Linked DNA regions of Anolis sagrei. The protein of the gene in region 2 purifies or fractionates together with the protein of the main gene of each other region. This does not show direct contact. Links are inferred from orthologs where the notes say so. Each region holds a gene or a part of one and is shown on either strand. Other genes may lie near its edges.

The links.
Region 1: the proteins of MAPK6 (region 2) and enoyl-CoA delta isomerase 2-like purify together in Homo sapiens (affinity purification with mass spectrometry; 3 studies listed by BioGRID and IntAct, with this or other methods). This does not show direct contact. The link is inferred for Anolis sagrei from reciprocal best matches to the Homo sapiens genes MAPK6 and ECI2.

What each region holds. Positions count from the first base shown.
Region 1 is NC_090024.1:86,836,893-86,844,760, reverse strand, and holds the start of enoyl-CoA delta isomerase 2-like, read left to right. Parts: upstream 1-4,644; 5' UTR 4,645-4,670; coding exon 4,671-4,735; intron 4,736-7,868. UniProt on the Homo sapiens protein: Able to isomerize both 3-cis and 3-trans double bonds into the 2-trans form in a range of enoyl-CoA species. Has a preference for 3-trans substrates.
Region 2 is NC_090029.1:20,628,727-20,636,327, forward strand, and holds the start of MAPK6 (mitogen-activated protein kinase 6), read right to left. Parts: upstream 3,004-7,601; 5' UTR 2,842-3,003; intron 1-2,841. UniProt on the Homo sapiens protein: Atypical MAPK protein. Phosphorylates microtubule-associated protein 2 (MAP2) and MAPKAPK5.

The DNA.
Region 1 (7,868 bases), on a different chromosome or scaffold from region 2:
GAACTGGACCCTTTATAAAAAAATCTATTAGGAACAACATGTAATGTTTACAGTGGCCTCTGCAGAAATGTTTCAGCTACTGTCCACTAAAAGGAAAATCTGTCTTTTGAGCAAGCTTTCCTAATGCTGAGTCATTATCAGTAAATGTTTGATTTAAATACCTATTTTATATACCTATATACCTGAGGTCATGTAAAAAAATTATCAGGTGGAAAGAGGTTGCAAGCAGAAAAACATTTTAAGATGCACAGGTTTATTGCACATTATTGATTTAACACGCCAACTGCTTTTTCAGTTTCTAAAAATGGAATAGGATAAAACTATTTGCAATGGGCTAAAGGCTGAGTATTCCTTATCCATAATTCAAAATGCTCCAAAGCCAACAATTTTGAAACGACAAGATATACGTATCTCTGCTGTATTTGCAAAGCTAGAGATGGACAAGGCTGGAGAAAGACACAAGAAATCGTGAAATATCAGGAATCCACATCTCCTGCTATAGATCTTTTCATCTCTCCCCATCTGAACAAGTGAACATGTGTGCTGTACCTTCCATCTCAAAAGTAGAATAATAATAATAATAATAATAATAATAATAATAACTACCAAAGGCCACCTTACTTGGATCTGCATGCATCATTCACAAATACACCACACAGTCCTAGATGCTTGGGAAGTGTTCAACTTGTGATTTTGTGATATGTGACATACTGTGTTTTTGTGTAAGTAAAATAATATTAACACTTTATTTATATTCCGACAGATTACAGTATGTAAATAAACACAAGCAAACATTAAATGCCTTGTTACAGTGAAGTACAATACAACGACATTCAAATACATAGGCAAAGGCAAAAGCTTCTCCTTTCATTTTTGGCTCTTGGAGGCAGTACTCATCTCCTGCTCTGGGGGAGGTGCTCATTTCCATTCCCAACCCAAGGAGCCTGCGTTATCCATAGACACCTCCTGGTTGTGTGCTTGGAATGACTACATGGGGCATCTTTTTGCCTTTTCCCACTGAGGCAGTATCCATTGATCTACTCACATTTGCATGTTTTCGAATTGCTAGGTTGACAGGAGGTAGGACTAACACAGCAGGAGCTCACCCCACCTCACAAATTTGAACTACCGACCTTCAAGTCAGGAGTTCAGCAGAACAAAGGCGCCACTCGCGGCCCCTTTGGAAGTGGGTATCTTGCACCCCTGACACAGCCAAGGTTGGCTACGATTACTAGGTTTTTATCCACAGAAGACTGGAGTGGGAAACACACTGATTGAGATGTGTGGAAGGAATGGGGAGAAGAAAATTGGGCTGGGTTTTATTTGCATGGGGTCCCCTCTGGGTCAAGGCTGGAGAAAATCTCCAGCCGTTGCTACTGCCGCATCCCACTCTACATCTACGTCAGCTTGGGAATGGCTGTGGATGAACACCAGCAGGAGCCACTGTGGCTATTTGTGCAAAGTTTGGCTGCAAACTCAACTTACTGTACGTCATCTCCACTCCTCCTGCTCCTCTTCTTTCTCTGGGAGTGGAAAGCGTACGAAGAATGGGCTCATGGTGGCTGGAGATTACCACCACTTCTACTGTCAACCTATGTCATTTTTTATACAGGCACCTATACTGTATGTGAACACTTCTGGTCCCAACTATTTCGGATAAGGGATACCAAAATTATATTCGGTGCAGAAGGGAATAGAAATTAGCAATTTGCTGTTTTAGCTTTCACCAAGCTGATGGGTTTGTAGGCAGTAGGCCCACTTTTGGAGACAGTAAATTAGTGATGGAAGCTGTGGGAGTAGCTCATCCCTGATTTTCTGCACTTCTCTCATCTCAGTAATTGTATATTTGGACTATGTTATCACTACTGATAACACAGCTAAGCATCGTGCCAAAAATGCCAAGAATGAGTATCAAGTTCTATTTCAATACTGCTAAAACTTTCACTTGAATATATTATGCAGATTTCACAAATATGAATGCATTTGAATGCTCTTTTGAATGCACAAATCTGCCAGGCAGGAAAAGAAACAAGTATTTGTTGATAGGGATTAGCACTTCTTATGTACTCTTTGGAGTGCCTTGGACCGCGAGAAGAAACCAGTCCATACTCCTGGAAATAAAGCCCGACTGCTCAATGGAGGGAAGAATATTAGAGGCAAAGATGAAGTACTTTGGGCACATCACAAGAAGACAGGAAAGTTTGGAGAAGACAATGGAAAATGGAAGGAAAAAGGAAGAGCGGTTGACCAAGGGCAAGATGGATGGTTGGATGGGCCAGAGGTTTAGCACAGCTGGAAAATCACCAGCAACTGTAAGATCTATCAACCGAAAGGTTGCAAGTTCAAAGCCCTGGGTTGGCGTGAGCAGCCGACTGTCAGCCCTGCTCACTGATTACCTAAGAAGTTCAAAAACAGCTTTAGCTGTAATTAGAGAAATTAGGTACCGCTAAAAGTGGGGGAGGTGTTTTACAACTCCATAAAGAAAGATCAGGTAATGTTGGCCACCCAAAAGGAAGGAGGAGGAAGTCCAAATGGCTCTTTGTCATAGAGGATGCCGCAACAACACCCTCTGTGGCTGGACTCAAGCCCAACCTTCCATGGCATCAAAACAACACAACTTCTTTCTGTTCTGTCTGTCTATATACTGTCTATACAAAGCGGCATTGAATGTTTGCCTTGTATGTGTACTGTGATCTGCCCTGAGTCCCCTTTGGGGTGAGAAGGGTGGAATATAAATATATTATTATTATTATTATTATTATTATTATTATTGCAACCTTGAAGTCACTGGCTTGACCTTGAAGGAGCTGGGGGTGGCCACGGCCAACAGGGAGCTCTGGCGTGGGCTGGTCTATGAGGTCACGAAGAGTTGGAAGTGACTGAATGAAGAAACAACAAAAAGTGTACCACACATCACCTCTGGGAGTCCACCTTGACCTTGGTGCTCTTGCTGCTCCTCCTCAATGGCCAGAGATCTCTGTGTGAGCACCTGGCCATCACTTGTCCTATCTGTTGTTGCACAGAAGCTGGGTTGTCCAAGAGATCACCAAGAGTTGGATTATACATATTATATATTTATTCTAAATATTATAGATTTATATTTTTTGAAAATTTTATAGTCTATTTATATTTTAATCATTTAATATTTATATATATACTTTTTTGGAGCCCCCGGTGGCGCAGTGGGTTAAACCTTTGAGCTATTGAACTTGCCGATCGTAAAGGTTGCCAGTTTGAATCTGGGGAGTGGGGTGAGCTCCCGCTGTTAGCCCCACCTTCTGCCAACCTAGCAATTCGAAAACATGCAAATGTGAGATCAATAGGTACCGCTTCTGCGGGAAGCTAACGGCGCTCCATGAGGTCATGCCAGCCACATGGCCTTGGAGGTATCTACGGACAATGCCAGCTTTTTGGCTTAGAAATGGAGATGAGCACCAACCACCAGAGTCGGACATGACTGGACTTAATGTCAGGAGAAAACTTTTACCTATATACTTTTTTAAAATACTGGAAGAGTTTTGTAAACATTTGCAATGGCTGTTTCTGCAAGAGGGGCTTCAGCCCCCCCCCCCCCAAATTCTCATGGTGGTTCGCGAAAAGGCCTTACTGGTGCATTATTTAAACTGTTGTTTATTCATATCATGATCTGATCACCATACTCAATATATCCCATATGCATGGGGGTATTGGGGTAATGATACAAAAGGTTTGCTAAGCTAGACCCTCTTTCACTCAGACTCAGCCCCCCCGAAAAAAATTAGCCCCCCTCCACCCGAAACGAAATCCTGGCTACGGGCCTGCCTCCAAGGTCACGTTTCCAGCATGAGCCGGCGTTATCTGTAGACGCCTCCAAGTTCATGAAGCCAGCATGTGCTGGCATTGTCTGTAGACACCTCCACGTTCATGCGGCCAGCATGAGCCAGCGTTGTCTGTAGACGCCTCCAAGGTCATGCGGCCAGCATGAGCCGGCGTTGTCTGTAGACGCCTCCAAGGTCATGTGGCCAGCATCAGCCAGCATTGTCTGTAGACACCTCCAAGGTCACGTTTCCAGCATGAGCCGGCGTTATCTGTAGACGCCTCCAAGTTCATGAAGCCAGCATGTGCTGGCATTGTCTGTAGACACCTCCACGTTCATGCGGCCAGCATGAGCCAGAGTTGTCTGTAGACGCCTCCAAGATCATGTGGCCAGCATGACTGCATGAAGCGCCGTTACCTTCCCGCAGAAGTGGTACCTATTGATCTACTCACATTTACATGTTTTCGAACTGCTAGGTTGGCAGAAGCTGAGGCTAACAATGGGAGCTCACCCCGTCCACGGATTCGAACCTGCAACCTTTCCGTTAACAAGTTTAGCGGCTCAGTGGTTTAACCCACTGCGCCACCGGGGCCTCCGTACAGATTAATAATACAGAGTCAAAGTGCGGTGCTAATGAGAGTCCCAGTCCGCCCTCTCCTCCCATCCCTTCCTGGAAACTGCAACCCTGAAAGGCGAGCGCAGCAGCAGCAGCAGCATCAGCCATTGAGGGCGAGCCATCCCTGCTGGGAGCCCGCCTTTGCCCTCCCGAGGCTCCTCCCCTTCGGGCCCGGCCGAGCGAGCAGCCCTCGCGGAGCGGCTTCGCCTCCTCTCCTTCCCGGCAGGTAGGCGCTGCTGTGCCCTCTCCTTGGCCGCCATGCCTGGCTGTGGTGCTTCTGCCGCCGCCAGGCTCCTGAGCCGGACTCCTTGGCGCCCTCGCCGGTGAGCCTGCTCCCCCTCCCCCTCTCTCTGGGCGCCGCAGCAGACAGAAGCAGCAAGGCCCTCTCTCTGTGTGTGTTTCTCCTTTGCCCACAAGGCTCCCTTCTGGCAAGAGGCGCCCCCGGCTGAGCGTTAGACAGTTTGAAAGTTGGAGAGCCCTACTTATTATAGGACTGCCAGGCGCAATATGGGTCCCTTATTATAAGGGATATCAGGCATTTCAGGGTTAGGCCCCCTTCTACACTGCCATATGAAATCCAGATTATTTGCTTTGGACTTGATTATAGGGCAGTGAAGGCTCAGATAATCCAGTTCAAAGCAGATAACCTAGATTATATGACAGTGTAGAAAGGGCCTTAGATTGGATCTACACTGCCCTATATGCCAGGTTCTGATCCCAGATTATCTGCTTTGAATTGGATCATATGACAGTGCAGGCTCAGAAAATCCAGTTCAAATCAGATAATCTGGATTAAATGACAGTGTAGAAAGGGTCTTAGACTGGATCTACACAGCACTATGTCCCAGGTTCTTATCCCAGATCATCTGCTTTGAATTGGATTATAGGAGTCCAAACTGCCAGATAATCTAGTATAGAAAATAATCTGGGATCAGATCCTGGGATGTAGGGCAGTGTGGATACAGCCTTAGGGCCCTTCTACACAGCTGTATAAAATCCAGATTATTTTCCTTGAGCTGGATTATATGGCAATGCTGTTTCAGATAATCCAGTTCAAATAAAATAATCTGGATTATATAGAGGTGTAGAACGGGCCTTAGATTGGATCTACACTGCATTATATCCCAGGTTTCGATCCCAGGTTTGAACTGGATTATATGAGTCTACATTGCCAGATAATCTGGAATAAAAAATAACCTGCGACCAGATCTTGGGATGTAGGGCAGTGTAGATCCAGCCTTAGGCCCCTTCCACACATCTGTGTAAAATCCAGATTATCTGCTTTAAACTGGATTATATAACAGTGTCCAGCTCAAAGCAGATAATGTGGGTCATCTGCTTTGATAATCTGGATTATATGGCAGTTTAAAAAGGGCTTTAGACTGGATCTATACTGCCCTATATCCCAGGTTCTGATCCCAAATGATCTGTTTTGAACTGGATTATATGAGTCTATACTGCTACATAATCTGGAATAAGAAGATAATAGGGATCAGATCCTAGGATGAAGGGCAGTGTAGCTCCAGCGTTAGGCCCCTTCAACACAGCTGTATAAAATCCAGATTATTTGCTTTGAGCTGGATTATATGGCAGTGTGGACTCATATAATCCAGTTCAAAGCAGATAATGTGGGTTATCTACTTTGATAATCTGGATCAAATGGTAGTGTAGAAGAAGGGACCTTAGACTGGATCTAACTTCTTTATATCTCATATTCCCATTTCAGATTATCTGCTTTGAACTGGATTATATGAGTCTACTTTGCCATATAATCTGGGATAAGAAGATAATAGGGATCAGATCGTGGGATGTAGGGCAGTGTAGATCCAGTCTAAAGCCCCTTCTAGACTGCCATGTAAATCAGATTATCAAATCAGATAACCCACATTATGAGTTTTGAACTGGATTATATATAAACCTACAATGCCATATAGGCCCGTTCCACACAGCTGTATAAAATCCTCACTGAACTGGGTTACATGGTTAGTTCAATTGAAATCAATATTTTCATTTGGTATTTAGGTAGAACTCAAACCTGTTGGCAGCTAGTACTACCTGATTACCATCTTTGCGTCTCATAAATACAGGGAGTATCCCTTATTGCTGGTTTGAAAATGTGGCAACTTTACTGTCAGGAGAAGCAATAACCAACTTCTGCTTCTCTCCTGTGAAGAGGAGGAGGAAGGAGGACTTATATAAATTATATTTATTTATATACCACTTTTTTCACAGGAACAGAGGTGCAAAGCAGTCCCCAACCTTTGAAAATTATATACACTTTAAAAACCTAAAAATATAACCATTGCAATAGAATTAAATGCTGCAGTTGTTAAAACTATTCCATATAGGACCAGGTGGAAGGCGGTCCCGGTTGAGGTTGACTTGACGCGCCTTCTCTTGGCATGTTTCTCCCTTTCGCCCTCCATTCATGCCTCATCAAATTCTGCAGCACTGCTGGTCACAGCTGACCTCCAGTTAGAATGTTCAAGGGCCAGAGCTTTCCAGTTCTCAGTGTCTATCCCACAGTTTTTAAGGTTGACTTTAAGCCCGTCTTTAAATACTGTAGAATTAATACAGTTTGACACCACTTTAACTGCCATGAATCTGTTATGGAATCATGGGAGTTGTAGTTTGACAAGTTCTTCATCTTCCTCTGCCAAAGAGTTCTGTTGCCTCAACGAACTACGACTGCCATGATTCCATAACATTGAGCCATGGGCATTTAGAATGGTGTCCAACTGCATTCATTCTACAGTGTAGATGCACCTTACTTAATCAAATCAGGAAGTAGTTTTTGCACAAACCTTAAACTACAACATATTATTTTTTAGAAATTCAGCACAGAAGAAAAAAAAAATACCAACATGTGATTTAGATAATGTATGATCGCTGTGGGCATAAACTTTAGGTCTTGTTGAGGTAGAAAATCTTTATCTAAGCAGTTATTTTGACGTTTTTGTGATATGGACTGAAGAAATCTTACAGTATATCATGTAATCAAAACATCCAGGTGTCCCCTGGGCAATGTCCTTGCAGACAACCAATTCTCTCACACCAGAAGCAACTTGCAGTTTCTCAAGTTGCTCCTGAGACAAGAAAAAATTAATAAAAGGAACGGCAAAACTATTCTGTCCATAGTATAGGGCAGGGCTCCTCAAACTTTTTAAACAGAGGGCCAGGTCACAGTCCCTTAAACTGTTGGAGGGCCGGATTATAATTTGAAAAAAAACATGAATGAATTCCTATGCACACTGCACATATCTTATTTGTAGTGCAAAAGCACTTCAAAATAATACAATAATTAAAATGAAGAACAATTTTAACAAATACAAGCTTATTAGTATTTCAGTGGGAAGTGTGGGTCTGCTTTTGGCTAATGAGATAGGATTGTTGTAGTTGTTGTTGTGTGCTTAGGTTGACAGTGAGCGAGGGCCGGGTAAATAACAACAACAATCC
Region 2 (7,601 bases):
TTGGAGTTGTAGTTCACCTTCATCCAGAGAGCACTGTGGACTCAAACAATGAAGTATCTGGACCAAACTTGGCATGAATACTCAGTATGCCCCAATGTGAACACTGGTGTGGTTTGGGAAAAATAGACCTTGACATTTGGGAGTTGTAGTTGGTGGGATGTATAGTTCACCTACAATCAAAGAGCATTCTGAACTCCACCAATTATGGCATTGAACCAAACGTGGCATACAGGACTCCCATGACACTAGAAAACACTAGAAGGGTTTGGTGGGCATTGACCTTGAATTTGGGAGTTGTAGCTTACCTACATCCAGAGATCACTGTGGACTCAAACAATGATGGATCTGGACCAAACTTGGCACGGATATTCTATATGCCCAAATATGAACGCAGATGGAGTTTGGGGGAAATAGACTTTGACATTTGGGATTTGTAGTTATTGGGATGTATAGTTCACCTACAATCAAAGAGCATTCTGAATCCCACAAACGACAGAATTGGGGAAAATTTCCCACATAGAACCCTCATGACCAACAGACAATACTTAAGGCCATCCAGTCTAACTCTCTTCATCAGGGCAAGAAAATGTAATCAGTGCCCTCCTGACAAAGAGCCATCCAGCCATAGATATAGATAGATAGATATGATTCACACACACACACAGATGTAGTATCCTAGATTTGAAAGGGACCCCTAAAGAAGGACAATTATATGTTGCATGTTCCAGGGTGGGCAAACCAGACAATCTCCACATCAACACTGGCAAAGAAACAGCAAGAAATACTGTTTACCCACAAGCATTACTTTATTTTCCAGATCACTAGACTGGGCCACAGCAACATGTGGCATGGGATGGCTAATAATAATAATAATAATAATAATATGCAAATTTAATATTTGATGGCATATACATGACTACCCTATTTAAAGTCTATGGCTGGATGTACACTGCCCTATAATCCAGTTGGAGAGAAAAAGTGGGATATAAATAAACATAATAATAATAATAATAATAATAATATGCAAATTTAATTTTTGATGACATATACAGGACTATCTTATTCAAAATACTATTTACCCACAAGCATTACTTTATTTTCCAGATGACTAGACTGGGCCACAGCAACGCATGGCAGGGGGTGGCTAATAATAATAATAATATGCAAATTTAATTTTTGATGGCATATATATATGACTACCCTATTTAAAGTCTATGGCTGGATGTACACTGCCCTATAATCCAGTTGGAGAGAAAAAGTGGGATATAAATAAACATCATAATAATAATAATAATAATAATAATAATATGCAAATTTAATTTTTGATGGCATATATATGACTGCCCTATTTAAAGTCTATGGCTGGATGTACACTGCCCTGTAATCCAGTTGGAGAGAAAAAAGTGGGATATAAATAAACATAATAATAATAAGAAGAAAAAGAAGAAGAAGAAGTAAATTTAATATTTGATGGCATATACATGACTATCTTATTCAAAATACTGTTTACCCACAAGCATTACTTTATTTTCCAGATCACTCGACTGGGCCACAGCAACGCGTGGCAAAGGATGGCTAATAATAATAATAATAATAATAATATGCAAATTTAATTTTTGATGGCATATATATGACTGCCCTATTTAAAGTCTATGGCTGGATGTACACTGCCCTGTAATCCAGTTGGAGAGAAAAAGTGGGATATAAATAAACATAATAAACATAATAATAATAATAATAATAATAATAATTTTAAAAGTGGGATATAACTAAACATAATAATAATAATAATAATAATAATATGCAAATTAAATTTTTGATGGCCTATATATGACTGCCCTATTTAAAGTCTATGGCTGGATGTACACTGCCCTATAATCCAGTTGGAGAGAAAAAAGTGGGATATAAATAAACATAATAATAAGAAGAAGAAAAAGAAGAAGAAGAAGTAAATTTAATTTTTGATGGCATATACATGACTATCTTATTCAAAATACTGTTTACCCACAAGGATTACTTTATTTTCCAGATCACTCGACTGGGCCACAGCAACGCGTGGCATGGGGTGGCTAATTATAATAATAATAATATGCAAATTTAACTTTTGATGGCATATATATGACTGCCCTATTTAAAGTCTATGGCTGGATGTACACTGCCCTATAATCCAGTTGGAGAGAAAAAGTGGAATATAAATAAACACATTAATAATAATAATAATAATAATAATTTTAAAAGTGGGATATAACTAAACATAATAATAATAATAATATGCAAATTAAATTTTTGATGGCCTATATATGACTGCCCTATTTAAAGTCTATGGCTGGTTGTACACTGCCCTATAATCCAGTTGGAGAGAAAAAGCGGGATATAAATAAACATAATAATAATAATAATATGCAAAATTAATTATTGATGGCATATACATGACTACCCTATTTAATGTCTATGGCTGGATGTACACTGCCCTATAATCCAGTTGGAGAGAAAAAGTGGGATATAAATAAACATAATAATAATAATCATAATAATTTAAAAAGTGGGATATAACTAAACATAATAATAATAACAATATGCACATTTAATTTTTGATGGCATATATGACTGCCCTATTTAAAGTCTATGGCTGGATGTACACTGCCCTATAATCCAGTTTCAGAATGTGGATCAAGTGCATTGGATTGGCAATGTAGAAACCAGTTCAATGCAGTTAATCCACCTTCTAAAACTGGATGATAAGGCCGTGCAGATCCAGCCTAGGATTCTACTGCTGCCCCTTTTTGTAGTTCCAGCGTCTATGGAATGAAAGCAAAGGGAAAGCAGGTGTCTGCAACTCACCATTCTTGCAGCTGCCTTGCCCTGTCTTGGGTCTCATGTTGGAAAAGAAAAAAGAGAAAGAAATAGGAAGAGTTTGTTTGCAGAATTTTGGAATAATCACTCCGAGCGAAGCGCAAAAGGTCAACCAGAAGACGGCTGGTCCAAAATAGTCGTGGAGGAGAGGAAAGTTCAACTGCTCTGACATGAGCTCTGTGTCCACAGCTGTTATACTCGCAGTAATTCATTCTGATATTCAAATGAGCCGAGGAGGCAGGCCTTGGGGCAGAGATCTTGCCAGAGAGGCCTCCCGGGTCTCCAGCAGAGCAAGGCTGCCAAGCCCAGAACTGGATGGAGAGCAAGAGGAGAGTGTGCCGGCGGTCAGGCGCAGCCAAAAGGACTCTTGGCTAAAGGACACCAAGGTTGTCAGGGTCAAAACTTGTGCTTTTAGGACAACCAGGTAACCTCGGTGGCGCAGTGGGTTAAAGCGCTGAGCTGCTGAGCTTGTTGACTGAAAGGTCGCAGGTTTGAATCCTGGGAGCGGCATGAGCTTCTGCTGTCAGCCTCAGCTTCTGCCAACCTAGCAGTTTAAAAACATGCAAATGGGAGTAGATCCATAGGTGTCGCTCCGGCGGGAAGGCAGGGGCAGCTCAACCCATTACGCAAAGTAAGCATTTGCAGTATAGTTGATTTGCCCAGGAGCGCTCTTGAGGCGCTCTTGGGGGAAAATAGACCTTGACATATGCGAGTTGTAGTTACTGGGATGTATAGTTCACCTACAATCCAAGAGCATTCTGAACTCCACCAATGATGAAATTGAAACAAATATGGCACACAGAACTCCCACGACAAACAGAAAATATATATCAGTGATTGGTGGGGGGGGGGGGGGGAGAGGGGGTAACTGTTTGTTTACCGTTGAAAATTACATAGGGCCGCCTCTGCGGGAAGGTAACGGCGCCCCATGTAGTCATGCCGGCCTCATGACCTTGGAGGTGTCTACGGACAATGCCGGCTCTTTGGCTTAGAAATGGAGATGAGCGCCATGCCCCAGAGTCGGACACGACTGGACTTCATGTCAGGGGAAAACCTTTACCTTTACCTTTACCTTTACCTAGGTAACAAAAAAGCTGAAATTACCATTGAAATCACAGGAGTGCGATATAGTAGAGTCTCGCTTATCCAACATAGACAGGCCGACAGAACGTTGGATAAGCGAAAAGCTTGGATAATAAGGAGGGATCCAGGAAAAGCCTATTAAATGCCAAATTATGTTATGATTTTGCAAATTAAGCTCCAAAGCATCATGTTTTACAACAAATTGACAGAAAAAGCAGTTCTGTACAGTACTACATGGTAACGTTAGGTAGTAATTGTTGTATTTACAAATTTGGCACCAAAATATTGCAATATATTGAAACAGCCAATCCCTCTCCAATGCCAGGAATACAGCTTAATGGTGTAACATTAGAAAATGTTGACCTTTTCCACTCCCTTGGCAGCCACCTCTCCACCAAAGTCAACGTTAACACTGAAATACAACACCACCTGAACTCTGCGAGTGCAGCATTTTTCCGAATGAAGCAGAGAGTGTTTGAGGACCGGGACATCCATAGGGAGACCAAGGTGCTTGCTTATAAAGCTGTTGTCCTCCCAACTCTGCCATACGCCTGCAAGACGTTGATTATCTGTAGACTGTCTACAGAAATACAACACTGCCTGAGCTCTGGAAGTGCAGCATTCTTCCGAATGAAGCAGAGAATGTTTGGGGACTGGGACATCCGTAGAGATACCAAGGTGCTTGTTTACAAAGCTATTGTCCTCCCAACCCCGCTATATGCCTGCGAAACGTGGACAGTCTACAGACATCAACATTGACACTGAAATGCAACACTGCCTGAGCTCTGTGAGTGCAGCTTTTTTCCGAATGAAGCAGTGAGTGTTTGAGGACTGGGACATCCGTAGGGAGACCAAAGTGCTTGTTTGTAAAGCTATTGTCCTCCCAACGCTGCCATATGCCTGCAAAACGTGTACTATCTACAGATGCCACATGCAACTCCAGGAATGATTCCATCAGCGTTGGCTCCTGCAAATCTCTTGGGAAGACAAGAGGACAAATGTCAGCGTGCTGGAAGAAGCAAAGACCACCAACATCGAAGCAATGGTCCTCCGCTGGACCGGCCACGTCTGGATGCCCGACCACCGTTTCCCAAAGCAGTTGCTCTACTCCGAACTCAAGAACGGGAAACGGAATGTTGGTTGGCAGGAAAAGAGATTTAAAGATGGGCTCAAAGCCAACCTTAAAAACTCTGGCATAGACACTGAAAACTGGGAAGCCCCGGCCCTTGAGCGCTCCAGCTGGAGGTCAGCTGTGACCAGCAGTGCTGCAGAATTTGAAGAGACATGAATGGAGGGCGAAAGAGAGAAACGTGCCAAGAGGAAGGCACGTCAATCCAACCCCAACTGAGAGTGCCTTCCACCTGGAAACCGATGTCCTCACTGCGGGAGAACATGTAAATCAAGAATAGGGCTCCGCAGTCACCTACGGACCCACTGCCAGTACACCGATCTTGGAAGACTACTCTACTCAATTCCAGGAAGCAGGGTGAGCTCCTGTCTGTCAGCTCCAACTTCCCATGCAGGGACATGAGAGAAGCCTCCCACAGGATGGTAATACATCCAGGCGTCCCCTGGGCAACTTCTCTGCAGATGGCCAATTCTCTCACTAAATCAATTATCACTGAATTACAGAACAACGTAAAACTTATACATAGGTATCTGTTGCTTTATATGGCCAATTCTCTCACACCAGAAGCAACTTGCAGTTTCTTAATTCATTTCTGGCACAATAAAAAGCAGAAAAGATTATTAAAAAGATAACCAAAACAACTTGACTCATTTGCTAGGATTTGTGGGGAGAAAAAAAGGGTGGCAGATTATTTTGCAAAGTACCATACCCAGACCCCTCCAGCAAGCTGGCTAGGTAAAATTATGGGATTGTAGTTGACAGTGGTGGAACCACCAGGCACTGATCCAAAACTGATTTAAAATTGCAGCTGTTTGGTTTGCAAAAGACCTCGGTGTGTCTGGAAAGTGGGCTGGGTGCTCAGTAACCCCAAGGAATGGAAAAACCACCACTGAGCCAGAGGAATAAATGCTGCTGAAGAGAAGCAGATGGATGAAAAGTTGCAAGCCTACCCAAGTCGGGTTGTGTTGGGTTGGCATCATTTTATCCAACCGTTCTGCATAAACGCTGGCTATGTTGGGACGCAGATGACTTTTTGAAGGATCAGGATACGGAGGCATCCTTAACTGAGGTGTTACAGTCTGTTTTGTCTCTTCCCTGAAGAGTCAAAGGTCTCAGAAATGTTCCTAATTGCAGAAGGAGGACAAGAGAACACTCTGTGCCCAGACTTTCCAAATAAATATTGCACACCGGTGGTTGCAAACAGACTTTGGGTGGTCTTGATAAAAAAGGGAAGATTAGCCTGCAGAAGAGAAGGCCGAGAGGAGACATGATGAGGACCATGTGTAAATATGTGAGGGGAAGTCATAGGGAGGGGGGAGCAGATCAAGGGTCTGGAGAACAAACCCTATGAGGAGCGGCTGAAAGAGCAGGGAAGTCATGTTTCCCCTCTATTCCGCCTTGGAATACCTGGAGCACACCTGGAATATCACTGTGTCCAATTCTGGGTACCACAATTGAAGGGAGATGTTGGCAAGCTGGAATTTGTGCAGAGGAGGGCGACTCAAAGGATAATGGGTCTGGAGAACCAGCCCTATGAGGAGTGGCTTAAAGATCTGGGCCTGTTTATCCTGCAGAAGAGAAGGCTGAGAGGAGACATAATGTGAGCCATGTATAATTATGTTAGAGGAAGTCATAGGGAGGAGGGAGCAGATCAAGGGTCTGGAGAACAAACCCTATGAGGAGTGGCTGAAAGAGCAGGGAAGTCATGTTCCCCCTCTATTCCGCCTTGGTCAGACCACACCTGGAATATTACTGTGTCCAATTCTGGGCACCACAGTTGAAGGGAGATGTTGGCAAACTGGAATGTGTCCAGAGGAGGGTGACTCAAAGAATTGAGGGTCTGGAGAACAAGCCCTATGAGGAGTGGCTTAAAGATCTGGGCATGTTTCGCCTGCAGAAGAGAAGGCCAAGAGGAGACATGATGAGGGCCATGTATAAGTATGTGAGAGGAAGTCATAGGGAGGAGGGAGCAGATCAAGGGTCTATAGAACAAGCCCGATGAAGAGCGGGGGAGTCATGTTCCATTCCCCCTCTATTCTGCCTTGGTCAGACCACAGCTGGAATATCACTGTGTCCAGTTCTGGGCACCACAATTGAAGGGAGAAGTTGACAAGCTGGAATGTGTCCAGAGGGGGGCGACCCAAAGGATAATGGGTCTGGAGAACAAGCCCTATGAGGGGCGGCTGAAAGAGCAGGGAAGTCATGCTCCCCATGCTCTATTCCGCCTTGGTCAGACCACACCTGGAATATCACTGTGTCCAATTTTGGGCACCGCAATTGAAGGGAGATGTTGGAAAACTGGAATGTGTCCAGAGGAGGGCGACTCAAAGGATCGAGGGTCTGGAGAACAAGCCCTGTGAGGAGTGGCTTAAAGCTCTGGGCATGTTTAGCCTGCAGAAGAGAAGGCTGAGAGGAGACATGATGAGCAGGGCCGTAGCCAGAAAAAAAGTTCAGGGAAGTTTGAAAATTTCGGGGGGGGGGGGGGGGGGAGGGTTGAAACCTGCCTCTTAGCTCACGCTGAAGCAAAGAGCACAGC